2 linked regions of the Anolis sagrei genome follow. The protein of the gene in region 2 interacts with the protein of the main gene of each other region in a pairwise test. Links are inferred from orthologs where the notes say so. Each region holds a gene or a part of one and is shown on either strand. Other genes may lie near its edges.

Region 1 (7,291 bases), on a different chromosome or scaffold from region 2:
GGGATTTACAGTTCACCTACAATCAAAGAGCATTCTGAACCCACCGACGATAGCTCCCTGTCTGTTTTCTAACAGGAAGAGAAGGACAGGTGGAGAGATTTTCAGCCTTTTCTGGCAAAGGGGTTCCTAAGGCAAGCAGAAATATGTGTTTTCTGATGGTCTTTGGTGACCCCTTTGAAGCCCCTCATGACCCCCCCCCCCACCCTGGTTGAGAAGCACTGTCCAAAGGCTATCTCTCTTCTTACTTTCCTAAGATTATTATGGAGACTAAAGTCCAATACCTGAAAGAAGGTGGAGTTTCACAAGGCAGCTGGAATTCTGTAGTTGTTCTATGGGCTCCTCCCATGTCTTCTTCAGAACTGGCAGCATTCTGAAACAGTTTGTTGGCCTTTCTACGTACTGGGCTGAACAGCTGTATGTAGGTTTGGGTCTCATCTTTCAGACGACTGGAGGGCTGGGTAATGTGGAAGTCATTTTGCCACCCACGAGGAAGCTAACATGCAGGTCAGAAAAGTGGGATATATCTGAAATGGAATACATTTAGGATGCATTTATTTATTTATTTCAAATATTTGTATCCCGCCCTTCTCAAGCCCTGGAGGGGGACTCCTGGCGGCTTACAATTCGATGCCCCCCATATACAAACAAAAGAAACAGCAGTTACATAATAAGGAAAACATTAAATTAAATTAAACTTAAATCCATTTAAAATAGTACTAAATTGGTTGGCCATATCTAAAACTGAATTCTACAACCAACGACTTAGTCCGAAGCTTGTCCATAGTCCATTTTCGTAGCATTGTCATAATTTTTATTATCAGCCTGCTACCCAAATACTTGGTCTCACAACCATTTTTTCAACTATTTCCTAAAGGAAAAAAGAGGGAAGCAGTTGACCTAATTTTGCTGGGGAGTAAGTTCTACAGGCGGAGGGCCACCACCGAGAAGGCCCTGTCTCTCGTCCCTGCCAAGCGTGATTGTGACGGTGGCAGGATCGAGAGCAGGGCCTTCCCTGAAGATCTTAAGCTTCGAGGTGGAACGTAGAGAGAGATAAGTTCAGACAAGTAAGCTGAGCTGGAACTGTATATTTGAATTTTTAGGCAGCAACATTCATTCCTTCATTAAGTTCAGTCATGAATGCAGCTCAAGCTGCCACTTCAGTAGGAACTGCTATTTCTGTCTGCTTTTTTGCCTTGATCAAGAAGTACTTTGCCATCCATGTAGCCCCTTATGCAAGATAACAAAAGTAATATGATTATTTTAGTTGCCTGTTATTTGTTTAATAATTTACTACCTCTAAAAGATGAATTATGTGGAATGGGCATATTGAGTAGCTGTTCCAGAAATAAAGTGCCTGTGCAAACAACACAGGCAAGGAAGAAGCTAAACAGATAATTCCCACCACCCTCCAACTCTCCTTCCACCACATGCTGTTGGCAGGACCCAACTAGTAGCATCAGGGTTGTGAAGAAGAAATTGACTGAACATGGTAGTGCTCGGTAGAGAGTAGATGGCTGAAGGTATGATAGAAGGAATATAGAGATAGAAGCAAAATGCTAATCATGGTCTACTTGTTGATTCGTCATGTAATCTACACCAACCATTGAGTAGATAAAATGCTTCAAGATCAAGCAAAAAATTGTTAAAAGTTCTGAAAACTGAGCTGACCAAGAAAGCAAGATACATGAAAATATTTAGGACATGTTATCCACACTGAGGTGTTAGAAGCTTTATTCAGCACACAGTGAAGAACTTGTCCATCATTTTGCAGATAAGCTCGCTCGGATTTGATTTGACTCTGGCCCCATCCACACTGCCATATAAAATCCAGATTATCTGCTTTGAACTGGATTATATGGCAGCATTGACTCATCCAGTTTAAAGCAGATAATGTGGATTATCTGCTTTGATCACCTGGATTATATGGCAGTGTAAGAGGGCCCTTACAAACCACATTTGATACAACATTGTAACCTTGTGCACCTGCTTTTTTAGTGTTGAGGGATACTTTTCAGTGTGTGTAGTCTGAGCATGTGGACAGAATCCTTGGAAAGATGAGAGCCATCACGTGTGTTAGACCCTTGTTCCTTCTGGCTCATTAAGCAGATGAGAGGGGAACTGGGGGAGAGGGTCACGGAAATGATTAATGCTTTGTTGCATCACGGCAGGGTCTCAGGATCCTTCCATACAGCCCTATATCCCAGAATATCAAGGCAGAAAATCCCACAATATCTGAATGTGGACTCAGATAACCCAGTTTGAAGTAGATACTGTGGGATTTTCTGCCTTGATATTCTGGGATAGAGGGCTGTATGGGAGGGCCCCCAGCATGCTTCCAGGATGCTGTAGTAAGATGTCTTCTAAAGAAAACTTTCCTGGACCCTTCTGTACTTAATAGCTATTATCTTCTATTTTTCGGAAGATACTAAAGCATGTGGTGGCGATTCACCTCCAAGGGTTCCTGGATGAGGATTATTATCTACACCCATTTCAGTCTGTTTTGATGCCTGATTATGGAACAGAGAAGGGTTTGTTGCCTTGGTAGATAACTTATGCAGGGACCTGGGCAGGAGATGTGTTACCTGCTGGTTCTAACTTTCAATGCCATTTTGCCATGACAACTTTCTGAGTTGCCTTCACCTACAATCAAAGAGCATTCTGAACTCTTACCAATGATAGAATTGAACCATGTTTGGCACACAGAGCTCCCATGACCAACAGAAAGTACTGGAAAAAGGTTTGGCGAACATTGACCTTGAGTTTGGGGGTTGTAGTTCACCTACATCCAGAGAGCACTGTGGACTCAAACAATGATGGATCTGGACCAAACTTGGCACAAATACCCAATATGCCCAAATTTGAACACTGGTGGAGTTTGAGGAAAATAGACTTGACATTTGGGGGTTGTAGTTGCTGGGATTTATAGTTCACCTACAATCACAGAGCATTCTGAATCTCACCAATGATAGAATTGGGCCAAACTTCCCACACAGAAACCCCATGGCCAACAGAAAATACTATGTTTTCTGATGGTCTTTGGTAACCCCTCTGACACCCCTTGGGACCCCACCAGGGGTCCCAACCCCTAGTTTGAGAAATGCCTACTTATCTACCTACTTACACTTTTAAAGCCCCAATTCCTGCTTCATATTTGGAGGGCCATATTTTACCTCAGTGCCATTTCATTTCAGCATTCATAAGAGGCATGGCTTTTTATTTGAAGTGACAAAGACAGGTGACTTCTCTGATTTAATACATTCCCTATCTAGTTTCAAGTAAACGAATAGTCATAGAATCACAGTTGGAAAGTCCCCATGGGCCATCAGATTGAACTAGCAATCCTAATTCTGCACTAACACAAATGACTATATAGTTATTTGTAATCCAGAATTAAACTTTCAGAGTTAAGTTTTCAGAGCCCTGAGCTTACCTCAGATGGTTTGGTCTAAAGTATCAGTTTTGGTTTTCCCCACAAACATATTTTTTAAAGTGACTGATCCTATGTCTGGACAGCTGTGTTGTATGATCTCATAGAATCATAGAGTTGGAAGAGACCTCATGGGCCATCCAGTCCAACCCCCTGCCAAGAAACAGGAAAATTGCATTCAAAGCACCCTCGACAGATAGCCATCCAGTCTCTGTTTAAAAGCATCCAAAGAAAGAGCCTCCACTACACTCCAGAGCTGAGAATTCCACTGCTAAACAGCTCTCACAGTTAGGAAGTTCTCTTAATGTTCAGATGGAATCTCCAGGGTAGCAGAAAACAAGACTGCTCCCTCCTCCCTATGACTCCCCACCACATATTTATACATTGCCATCATGTCTCTTCTCAACCTTCTCTTCTGCAGGCTAAACATGTCCAACTCTTTAAGCCACTCCTCATAGGGCTTGTTCTTAAGACCCTTTAACATTTTAGTAGCTGTTCTCTGGACACATTCCAGCTTGTCAACATCTCCCTTCAACTGTACTGCCCAGATTGACCACAGGTGTGGTCTGACCAAGGCAGAATAGGGGGCTAGCATGACTTTCTTGGATCTAGACACTTCCTGCAGGATGTGCTGGTTTGGATCCAAGGCGGCATACTGTATGCTAGTGATACAATGAACTTCTGTTTTTAAAGGATCCAAATGAAGATACGGAATGGAATGATGTTTTGAGAGATTTTGGGATTCTGCCCCCCAAAGAAGAAGTTAAAGATGAAATTGAAGAAATGGTTTTACGTTTACAAAAAGAAGCTGAAGGTAAGGAGTTGCTAACATATTGCTGTCAGTGTGCAAGCAATTGTTGGAATTAAGATCACTGCATTTTAGCTGTCTACAATCTAAGCATTGTAATACAATCCTATCCTGCTCATATGGCTTCCAAAGAATAAAAAGGCTAGAAAATGGCTGTTGTATAGTTTTCTTGGGCAATGTAGTACTTCACAATTCAGATGGGGAAAGGCACAACCTTGTATTCATCTTAAAATAAACAAAAGGCAATTGGATTCTAAGATAGCTTTGCCTTCCTCTGATTTCTACAAGTCAGGAATTTTTAGCACAAGGAAAACACCCAAACAGTATATTTTAAAACAGGCCAATCAGAGAAAAACGAGAACTCATACTTCCTAAATTCTGAATTAGCAGATCAGCCCTAATACTGACACAATTAGAACACATCTGGAAATAACATCTGGCAAAAGGTTATTGCACTTAATGGCCATTAATTGGAATTTTGTAAACATGGGGTTTCTGTTTAGGATTCAGCATCATGCACATCTTTGGGAAAATTGATTTTTAATTCCATTTAAGTGTTTGTTTTTGCTTGCATCATGTATATCTTGGCTTTCAGCAAGAGCCCTCAAGATGGCTTGGGAATAAATCCATACAAAAACACAGTGAATATCTAATATTACTTTCTGTGTTTCTTCTAAATAAGGATATAAGAAAAACTATGCTGGATCCTAACCAAGGCCAGTGTCAGGATCCAGCATGTGTTCCCATGATGGAAAATCAGTTGCCCTAAGCAAAGCCAATGAAATAGGATATAAACACAACTTCTCCAGAAACAAATCATAGAATCATAGACCTCGAGGGCCGTCCAATCCAAACCCCTGCCAAGAAGCAGGAAAATCACATTTCAAGCACCCCCGACAGATGGCCATCCAGCCTCTGTTTAAAAGCCTCCAAGGAAGGAGCCTCCACCACACTCTGGGGCAGAGAGTTCCACTGCTGAACAGCTTTCACAGTCAAAAAGTTCTTCCTAATGTTGAGATGGAATCTCCTTTCTTGTAGTTTGAAGCCATTGTTCCGTGTCCTAATCTCCAGGGCAGCAGAAAACAAGCTTGCTCCCTCCTTCCTATGACTTCCTCTCACGTATTTATACATGGCTATCACATCTCCTCTCAGCCTTCTCTTCTTCAGGCTAAACATGCTCAGCTCTTTAAGCCACTCCTCATAGGGCTTATTCTCCAGACCCTTGATCATTTTAGTCACCCTCCTCTGGACACATTCCAGCTTGTCAACATCTCCCTTCAATTGTGCTGCCCAGAATTGGCCATAGTATTCCAGGTGTGGTCTAACCAAGGCAGAATAGAGGAGCAGCATGACTTCCCTGGATCTAGACACTATACTCCTACTGATGCAGGCCAAAATCCCATTGGCTTTTTTGCCACCACATCACATTGTTGGCTCATGTTTAACTTGTTGTCCACAAGGACTCCAAGATCTTTTTCACACGTACTGCTCTCGAGACATGCGTCCCCCATTCTGTATCTTTGCATTTCATTTTTTCTACAGGAGCACACTTCCTCTTATACATGAAGTGATATATAGTCAGTATGACTAGTAGCAAGTTATGGCCTTAACCTCCATTTCATTATAGAAATTCTTCTCAAAAGTAACTTTCCAGGTTCTGCCCAGAAATATACAGAAGTGGCATTTTATTTTTGCCCTTTGTTATACATTTTTGTATATTTTTATAACAGCGCTCCATGCAGTCATGCTGGCCACATGATCTTGGAGGTGTCTACGGACAACGTTGGCACTTCGGCTTAGAAATGGAGATGAGCACCACATCCCAGAGTCAGACACGACTGGACTTAATGTCAGGGGAAAACCTTTACCTTTACCTATACATTTTTGTAGCTTCTAAGGTTGTTTTGGGTTTTTTTTGCTCAGTGAAACCATATGAAAAAATGAATCTGAAACAACTCAAAGAAGCTGAAGATGAATTTAATGAAGAAGATATGAAAGCTGTTGAAATGTACAGGTATGCTCAAGTTTATGGTGAGCACATTTAAAGACAAAATAACACGAGAAGAGCAAAGATCTCAAAATGGATATGAAATTAGAATAAATAGATGGTCGTTATTCATATTTTATTCCTTTGCTACTAAGCAAAGCATTTAACAGGTTTGAGTAAACGAGGAAAAGTAGTTCTAATACTTATATGTACTCCATAGGCAAGTAAGTGGTGCCATCTAGTGTTTTCAATTGTGTACATTTGTGCGTGAGTTTTATGCATTCGAAACTGTTGTTATCATAGAAACACCTAATTTAGTACAGGTTCTGTGTTAAAGGAACTTGTATTAAGGGTTTTTACAGAAAATCTCTTGTACATCTATCAAGAAATAAGTCCCAGGGAATTCAACAAATATATGTGTGAAGGATAGCAATTTAAGTTATTCAGTTGCTTAAATCTGCTGACATTACAATATTTCTGAAGAAAAATAATAGGCTAGTAAAGCAGGTCGGTGCTTATTTGAGGTTCTCCTGAGATTGACTAAACTTTCATCTTTCACCACTCAGGAAGGGGGGTACAATCTATGTATCTATGCACGTAATAAGTGAAAATATGCATGTGTGTGTCTGTGTGGTTGGGGATTCCACTTACACAGACGTGCTCCTGCCTCCACAAACAGCTATAGCCCCCACTACTCAGGAGACACCAATAGCCCTCCCTCCAATGACATTGCAGGTTATAGTGAGCACCATGAACATATACAAGAACCCTGCCAGTGTCCTCCACAAACACAATACTGCCCACCACCTAAGTGAAGGCTTTCATATGGGGACAATTCCAGCCTAGAGTTTATGTGTTTCCTCCACCACAGACTTCTCAGTGTTTCTTACTCTCCCCGTTGGTGTGGAATTTGCATGACCCCACCAATTGCCTCTCCTTTAACCCTTTCCTATTATCTTCTATGACACACAACAAACTGATGAACTGATCAGCAATGGAACACATTAGAGAGGTTTGGGGAGAATTCACCATGATTTATAGGAGTTGTAGGTCCTGGGATGTATAGTTC
Region 2 (8,158 bases):
GCCTGTGAGGCAGGCGGGACCGAGAGAAGGGCCTCCCCAGATGATCTCACGGTCCTCGTGGGCTCGTAGGCCGAGATGCGGTTCTCAAGGTATTTTGGGCCGGAACCGTTTAGGGCTTTGTAGGATAACACCAGCACCTTAAATTGGGCCCGGTAGCAAATCGGCAGCCAGTGGAGCTGGGACAGCAAGGGCGTTGTGTGCTCCCTGCGTCCCGCTCCGGTTAACAACATGGCTGCCGCACGCTGGACTAGCTGGAGCTTCCGGGCCGTCTTCAAGGGCAGCCCCACGTAGAGAGCGTTGCAGTAGTCGAGGCGGGATGTGACCAAAGCGTGTACCACCGTGGCCAAGTCAGACTTCCCAAGATACGGGCGCAGCTGGCGCACGAGCCGAAGCACGAGTTAGGAACTACTTTGTTATACAGAGCATTAGCATTGGGATTGTATATTTTGTACTATGTGTATTTCACTCAATATAAGTCTACACTGTTTATTTACTATTAATAGTGTATATCTTTGTGCTTGTGGACCAACACTGTTTTGGTTTTATATTGTAAAGTGGTCTTAAGTCACATCTGGGTTTGAGAAAAGCGGGATAGAAATATCATTCAACTAGCCATGCCCTGCCATGCGTCGCTGTGACTCAGTCTGTGTATATGTGTTTTGTGTGTGCGCATATATATGTGTGTATATGTGGTTTTGTGTGTTATGGATTTTTTATTTTTTGGCTTTTTAAGTCTCTTCCGCAGTGTTTTTCAGTGTTTTTATGAGTGACAGTCACTTGTTGATCTGTTAGGGGTGTAGTGTCCAAATTTGGAGGTGGGGTATAAAAATAAAGTAGTAGTAGTAGTTATTATTATTATTATTATTATTAGAAACACAACAAGATGAGTCCACAGCAGACAAGATTATCTGCTGTCTGTTGTATTGGATTACACATCGGACCCTTCCCAAGAGTCAGGACTGGGTGATGTATTGGTGAATAATGCGTGCAGATCACAGTAAGGTTGCATTCTGCAGCTGGCAGATAGTAATCTTGTCAGTGCTGATTGTGTTTAAGTGCAGGCCAAGGTCTTGAGGCACTGCACCCAGTGTGCCGATCACCACTGGGACCCCCTTGACTGGCTTGTGCCAGAGTCTTTGCAGTTCGATCTTTAAATCCTCATATTGTGTCAGCTTTTCCAGTTATTTCTCTTCAATCCTGCTGTCACCCGGGATTGCAACATCGATGATCCATACTTTGTTTTTTAACATGATCGTGAGGTCAGGAGTATTGTGCGCCACAACACTGTCTGAATTCGGAAGTCCCAGAGGAGTTTGACGTGTTCATTTCCTGTACATTTTTCCAGCTTGTGATAATAATAATAATAATAATAATAATAATAATAATAATAATATAATCGTCTGTCTGAATTTGGAAGTCCCAGAGTAGTTTGGTGTGTTCATTTTCTGTAAAATTTTCCGGCTTGTGATCATTATTTATTATTATTATAATATAATAATATTATGATAATCAACTACCAAACTCACAAATGATGTATTATGTCTGTTTGTTTGCTTTGTTCTGTTAGAAATGTAATATAATTGACTGGTTGCCCTGACACGACAAATAAATAAATATTATAATATTATTTTACTGACACAAAAGCACAGAATGTCACAGCAAACGAGATCTATATGCTGGATTTCATACCAAAAAGACCACAAGTCGAACACTTCCCAATGCAAGATACTCCACTTTGGAAGGAAAACGAAATGCAAAGATATAGAATGGGGGATGCCTGGCTCGAGAGCAGTACGTGTGGAAAAGATCTTGGAGTCCTCGTGGACAACAAGTTAAACATGAGCCAACAATGTGGTGTGGCGGCAAAAAAAGCCAATGGGATTTTGGCCTGCATCAATAGGAGTATAGTGTCTAGATCTAGGGAAGTAATGCTACCCCCCTATTCCGCTTTGGTTAGACCACACCTGGAATATTGTGTCCATTTCTGGGCACCACAATTCAAGAGAGATATCGACAAGCTGGAATGTGTCCAGAGGAGGGCGACTAAAATGATCAAGGGTCTGGAGAACAAGCCCTATGAGGAGCGGCTTAAGGAGTTGGGCATGTTTAGCCTGAAGAAGAGAAGGCTGAGAGGAGATATGATAGCCATGTATAAATATGTGAGAGGAAGCCACCGGGAGGAGGGAGCAAGCTTGTTTTCTGCTTCCTTGGAGACTAGGATGAGGAACAATGGCTTCAAACTCAAGAGAGGAGATTCCAACTGAACATGAGGAAGAACTTCCTGACTGTGAGAGCCGTTCAGCAGTGGAACTCTCTGCCCCGGAGTGTGGTGGAGGCTCCTTCTTTGAAAGCTTTTAAACAGAGGTTGGATGGCCATCTGTCAGGGGTGATTTGAATGCAATATTCCTGCTTCTTGGCAGAATGGGGTTGGACTGGATGGCCCATGAGGTCTCTTCCAACTCTTTGATTCTATGATTCTAGCACTGCGTGATGTATATTATTATTATTATTATTATTATTATTATTATTATTATTATTATATCTTCAAAGGCAGCCCCACATTGAGAGCGTTGCAGTAGTCCAGACGGATTATACAATTGTTTAACCTCTTCATTTAAAAAAAGAAAGGATTATAAGAATCTTGAAACAAGAGAAATAAGCAGAGGAACTTGTAAAGTGGGTTTTGGTTGACAGTAGCTAGCCTTCCTGATCAAGGCCTTGTTCTGGCACATCTACTTCAGGGCTGGGCCAACTTGGGCCTTCCCTCCAGGTGTTTTGGACTCCAACTCCCACAATTCCTCACAGCCTCAGGCCTTTAGGGACTACAACTTAGGGCCTGAGGCTGTGAGGAATTGTGGGAGTTGGAGTCCAAAACACCTGGAGGGAAGGCCCAAGTTGGCCCAGGCCTGAGGGGGGAAAGCAAAGGGCCTGAGGCTGTGAGGAATTGTGGGAGTTGTAGTCCCAAGTTGGAATGAAGGCCTAAGTTGGGCCAGGCCTGCTCCACTTGCCTTCCCTTGGCCTCCAAGCCGTCGCCATAGTGACTACCAGCAGTGTTACAGCCTCCCATCCCAGAATACCCTCCCTTTCCCTTCCAAACCAGAGGAATCTCTCTCTCTGTTTCAATTGCCCTCCGAGATTCCACTCACCAGCTGGTCCTCAACTGCAGTCTCGCTCCAATCGGAAGCGCCCACCGGCTGGCGGAAGTGACAGGGCAGGCGCTAACCGTTGCGCATGCGCGGGAGGGAAAGACAGGCAACGGCGATGCAAATGAGGAGGGCGTGGCGCAGTGCGGGACACGCCCCCTTTTGCCTGGCTGAGGCGTGAAGGGGCGGGGCGCTCCCGTATGGTGCTCCTTAAAGAGACAGGCGCCCTCTCTTTAAGATTGCGCTTTCAGAACCCTTGATTTAAAGGGACAGGAGCCCTCTGCACACAACAATCCAGAGCTCAATCCTAGTATTTGCATAAAATTCCATAAATAATGGCTCCACTACCATTTCCTTCCTTCCCTCCTTTCCATTCTTCCTACTGCTAGTAATATGATATCATAATTATATAATTATATATATTTATTATATTGCATAATATTGCATAATATAATAACAATAACAATATAATAACAACAAAATTATATTGCATGTAATTTATTATTAATTATATATATTTATTATATTCCATGTACTTTATTATTAATTATATATTTATTATATTCCATGTAATTTATTGTTAATTATATATATTTTATATACCATGTGCTTTATTATTAATTATATATATTTATTATATTCCATGTACTTTGTTATTAATTATATATTTTTATTATATTCCATGTAATTTATTATTAATTATATATATTTAATATATTTCATGTAATTTATATTAATTATATATATTTATTATATTTCATGTAATTTATTATTAATTATATATATATACTATATTCCATGTAATTTATTATTAATTATATATATTTACTATATTCCATGTAATTTATTATTAATTATATTTATTTATTATATTTCATGTAATTTATTATTAATTATATATATTTATTATATTCCATGTAATTTATTATTAATTACATATATTTACTATATTCCATGTAATTTATTAATTATATATATTTATTATATTTCATGTAATTTATTATTAATTATATATATTTATTATATTCCATGTACTTTGTTATTAATTATATATTTTTATTATATTCCATGTAATTTATTATTAATTATATATATTTACTATATTCCATGTAATTTATTATTAATTATATATATTTACTATATTCCATGTAATTTATTATTAATTATATATATTTATTATATTCCATGTAATTTATTATTAATTATATATATTTACTATATTCCATGTAATTTATTATTAATTATATATATTTATTATATTTCATGTAATTTATTATTAATTATATATATTTATTATATTGCATGTAAATTATCATTATTCCTTTCAAAAGCCTTGCAGCTTAAAAGTCTGGCTTCTTCCTGCCTGTGGGAAAGCTTTGTGGAGAGGTGTTCCCTAGACCAGATTGTTTCATATTTGGATTTCCTTAGTGTTCTAAAGGCCACAGCAATTGATATTGGATCCATTCCACCAAAGTGTTATCCTTTGCCGCCCTCTGATGGACGAGTCGGGCATTGCGCCCCCTTGTTATTCTGTCCCTCCATTGAAGCCTATGGGCCATCTCTCTGCCCAGGACTCCTATGTGTTGTCCTTTGCCGCCCTCCAGTGGACACATCAGGCATTGCGCCCCCTTGTTATTCTGCCCCTCCATTGAAGCCTATGGGGCATCTCTCTGCCCAGGACTCCTATGTGTTATCCTTTGCTGCCCTCCAGTGGACACATCAGGCATTGCGCCCTCTTGTTATTCTGCCCCTCCATTGAAGCCTATGGGGCATCTCTCTGCCCAGGACTCCTATGTGTTGTCCTTTGCTGCCCTCCAGTGGACACATCAGGCATTGCGCCCCCTTGTTATTCTGCCCCTCCATTGAAGCCTATGGGGCATCTCTCTGCCCAGGACTCCTATGTGTTGTCCTTTGCTGCCCTCCTGTGAACACATCAGGCATTGCGCCCTCTTGTTACTCTGCCCCTCCATTGAAGCCTATGGGGCATCTCTCTGCCCAGGACTCCTATGTGTTGTCCTTTGCTGCCCTCCTGTGAACACATCAGGCATTGCGCCCTCTTGTTACTCTGCCCCTCCATTGAAGCCTATGGGGCATCTCTCTGCCCAGGACTCCTATGTGTTGTCCTTTGCTGCCCTCCTGTGGACACATCAGGCATTGCGCCCCCTTGTTATTCTGCCCCTCCATTGAAGCCTATGGGGCATCTCTCTGCCCAGGACTCCTATGTGTTGTCCTTTGCCGCCCTCAAGTGGACACATCAGGCATTGCGCCCTCTTGTTATTCTGCCCCTCCATTGAAGCCTATGGGGCATCTCTCTGCCCAGGACTCCTATGTGTTGTCCTTTGCTGCCCTCCTGTGGACACATCAGGCATTGCGCCCCCTTGTTATTCTGCCCCTCCATTGAAGCCTATGGGGCATCTCTCTGCCCAGGACTCCTATGTGTTGTCCTTTGCCGCCCTCCTGTGGACACATCAGGCATTGCGCCCTCTTGTTATTCTGCCCCTCCATTGAAGCCTATGGGGCATCTCTCTGCCCAGGACTCCTATGTGTTGTCCTTTGCTGCCCTCCTGTGGACACATCAGGCATTGCGCCCCCTTGTTATTCTGCCCCTCCATTGAAGCCTATGGGGCATCTCTCTGCCCAGGACTCCTATGTGTTGTCCTTTGCTGCCCTCCTGTGGACACATCAGGCATTGCGCCCCCTTGTTATTCTGCCCCTCCATTGAAGCCTATGGGGCATCTCTCTGCCCAGGACTCCTATGTGTTATCCTTTGCTGCCCTCCTGTGGACACATTGGGCATTGCGCCCCCATGTTATTCTGCCCCTCCATTGAAGCCTATGGGGCATCTCTCTGCCCAGGACTCCTATGTGTTGTCCTTTGCCGCCCTCCTGTGGACACATCAGGCATTGCGCCCCCTTGTTACTCTGCCCCTCCATTGAAACCTATGGGGCATCTCTCTGCCCTGGACTCCTATGTGTTGTCCTTTGCCGCCCTCCGGTGGACACATCAGGCATTGCGCCCACTTGCTATTCAAGGTCATATGCAATGTTCAGATGCAACCACCAGAGGGCAGTCTATAGATAGGCAGGCTTAGTTACTGGCTTATTGTGTCTGTGCAATGCTCAGATCCAACCACAAGAGGGCAGTATATAGCTAGGATTAGTTACTGGCTTATTGGTATGTATGGATGTATGTATGCAATGCTTATATGCAACCACAAGAGGGCAGTATATAGATAGGATTACTTACTGGCTTATTGGTATGGATGTATGCAATGCTTATATGCAACCAGAAGAGGGCAGTATACAGTTAAGAAGGCTTAGTTACTGGCTGATTATGTATGTCATGCTCAGATGTAACCACAAGAGGGCAGCATGCAGATAGGAAAGTTGTTACTGGCTTATTGCTATGAATGTATGAAAGGCTTCAATGCAACCACAAGAGGGCAGTGTGCACATAGAAAGACTTACTGTCTTATTGGTATGTATGTAATGCTTAGATGCAACCAGCAGAGGGCTTTCATGGCCAGAATCACTGGGTTGCTGTGAGTTTTCCAGGCTGTTTGGCTATGTTCCAGAAGCATTTTCTCCTGACGTTTCGCCCACATCTATGGCAGGCATCCTCAGAGGTTATGAGATCTGTTGGAGACTAGGCAAGTGGGGTTTATACATCTGTGGAATGCCCAGGGTGCAGGAAGCAGCCAAGCTTTGAAGCTGCAAGGCTATTCAATGCTAATCAAGGTGATCAATTGCAACATACACACTTGTCTCAAGCAGACAAGAGTTCTTTCTCTCACCCTGGACATTATTCCACAGATATATAAACCCAATTTGTCTAGTCCCCAACAAACCTCACAGCCTCTGAGGGTGCCTGCCATAGATGTGGGTGAAATGTCAGGAGAGAATGCTTCTGGAGCATGGCCACACAGCCTGGAAAACTCACAGGAACCCAATGTTAGTATGCTTTGGAAAAGTAAACCCCACTTGCCTAGATGCCAACAAACCTCACAATCTCTGAGGGTGCCTGCCATAGATGTGGGTGAAATGTCAGGAGAGAATGCTTCTGGAGCATGGCCAGACAGCCCAGAAAACTCACAGCAACCCAAGGTTAGTATGCTTTGGAAAAGTAAACCCCACTTGCCTAGATCCTGACAAACCTCACAACCTCTGAGGGTGCCTGCCATAGATATGGGTGTAAGACTGGCTGCTTCCAGCCAGGGGGAATGCCAATAAAGGATTCCCCCAGGCAGGAAGCAGCCAGGCTTTGATGCTGCAAGGCCGTTCAATGCTACTCAAGGTGGCCAATTGCAACATTAATGCTTGCCTCAGACAGACAAGAGGTCTTTCTCTCATCCTGGACATCATTCCTCAGATATATAAACCCCACTTGCCTAGTTTCCAACAGACCTCACAACCTCTGAGGATGCTTGCCATAGATGTGGGTGAAATGTCAGGAGAGAATGCTTCTGGAACATGGCTATACAGCCCGGAAAACTCACAGCAACCCAGCCCAATGGTTTGCACAGATTTCTTCCCAAACTTTTCATGTAAATAGGGATAGTTAGGAGCCTGTGGTTGAGCAGTGTGTTAAACCTCTGAGCTGCTGAACTTGGTAAGCAAAAGGTCATAGATTCGAGTCTGGGGAGCGACATGAGCTCCCACTGTTAGCCCCAGCTTCTGCCAACCTAGCAGTTTGAAAACATGCAAATGTGAGCTCAATAAGTATCGCTCTGGGGGAAGGTAATGGTGATCCATGCAGTCATGCCGTCCACATGACCTTGGAGGTGTCTCCGGTCAATGCCGGCTCTTTGGCTTAGAAATGGCGATAAGCACCGTGAGCTCCCGCTGTTAGCCCGTTTCTGCCAACCTAGCAGTTCAAAAACATGCAAATGTGAGCTCAATAGGTACCTCTCTGGCGGGAAGGTAATGGTGCTCCATTCAGTCATGTTGGGACTCAGCCTGTGTGTGAACCTGAGCCTGAATCTTTGTATTGTCTAATGGTGATGCCAATGTTGATGC

The links.
Region 1: the proteins of GOLGA1 (region 2) and PDCL2 interact in a two-hybrid assay, tested with the Homo sapiens proteins (2 studies listed by BioGRID). The two-hybrid records come from large-scale screens. The link is inferred for Anolis sagrei from reciprocal best matches to the Homo sapiens genes GOLGA1 and PDCL2.

What each region holds. Positions count from the first base shown.
Region 1 is NC_090025.1:73,589,256-73,596,546, forward strand, and holds the start of PDCL2 (phosducin-like protein 2), read left to right. Parts: upstream 1-4,210; coding exon 4,211-4,241; intron 4,242-6,158; coding exon 6,159-6,249; intron 6,250-7,291. UniProt on the Homo sapiens protein: Essential for male fertility, spermiogenesis and acrosome formation.
Region 2 is NC_090031.1:6,349,878-6,358,035, reverse strand, and holds the start of GOLGA1 (golgin subfamily A member 1), read right to left. Parts: upstream 3,226-8,158; 5' UTR 3,147-3,225; intron 1-3,146. UniProt on the Homo sapiens protein: Involved in vesicular trafficking at the Golgi apparatus level. Involved in endosome-to-Golgi trafficking. Mechanistically, captures transport vesicles arriving from endosomes via the protein TBC1D23.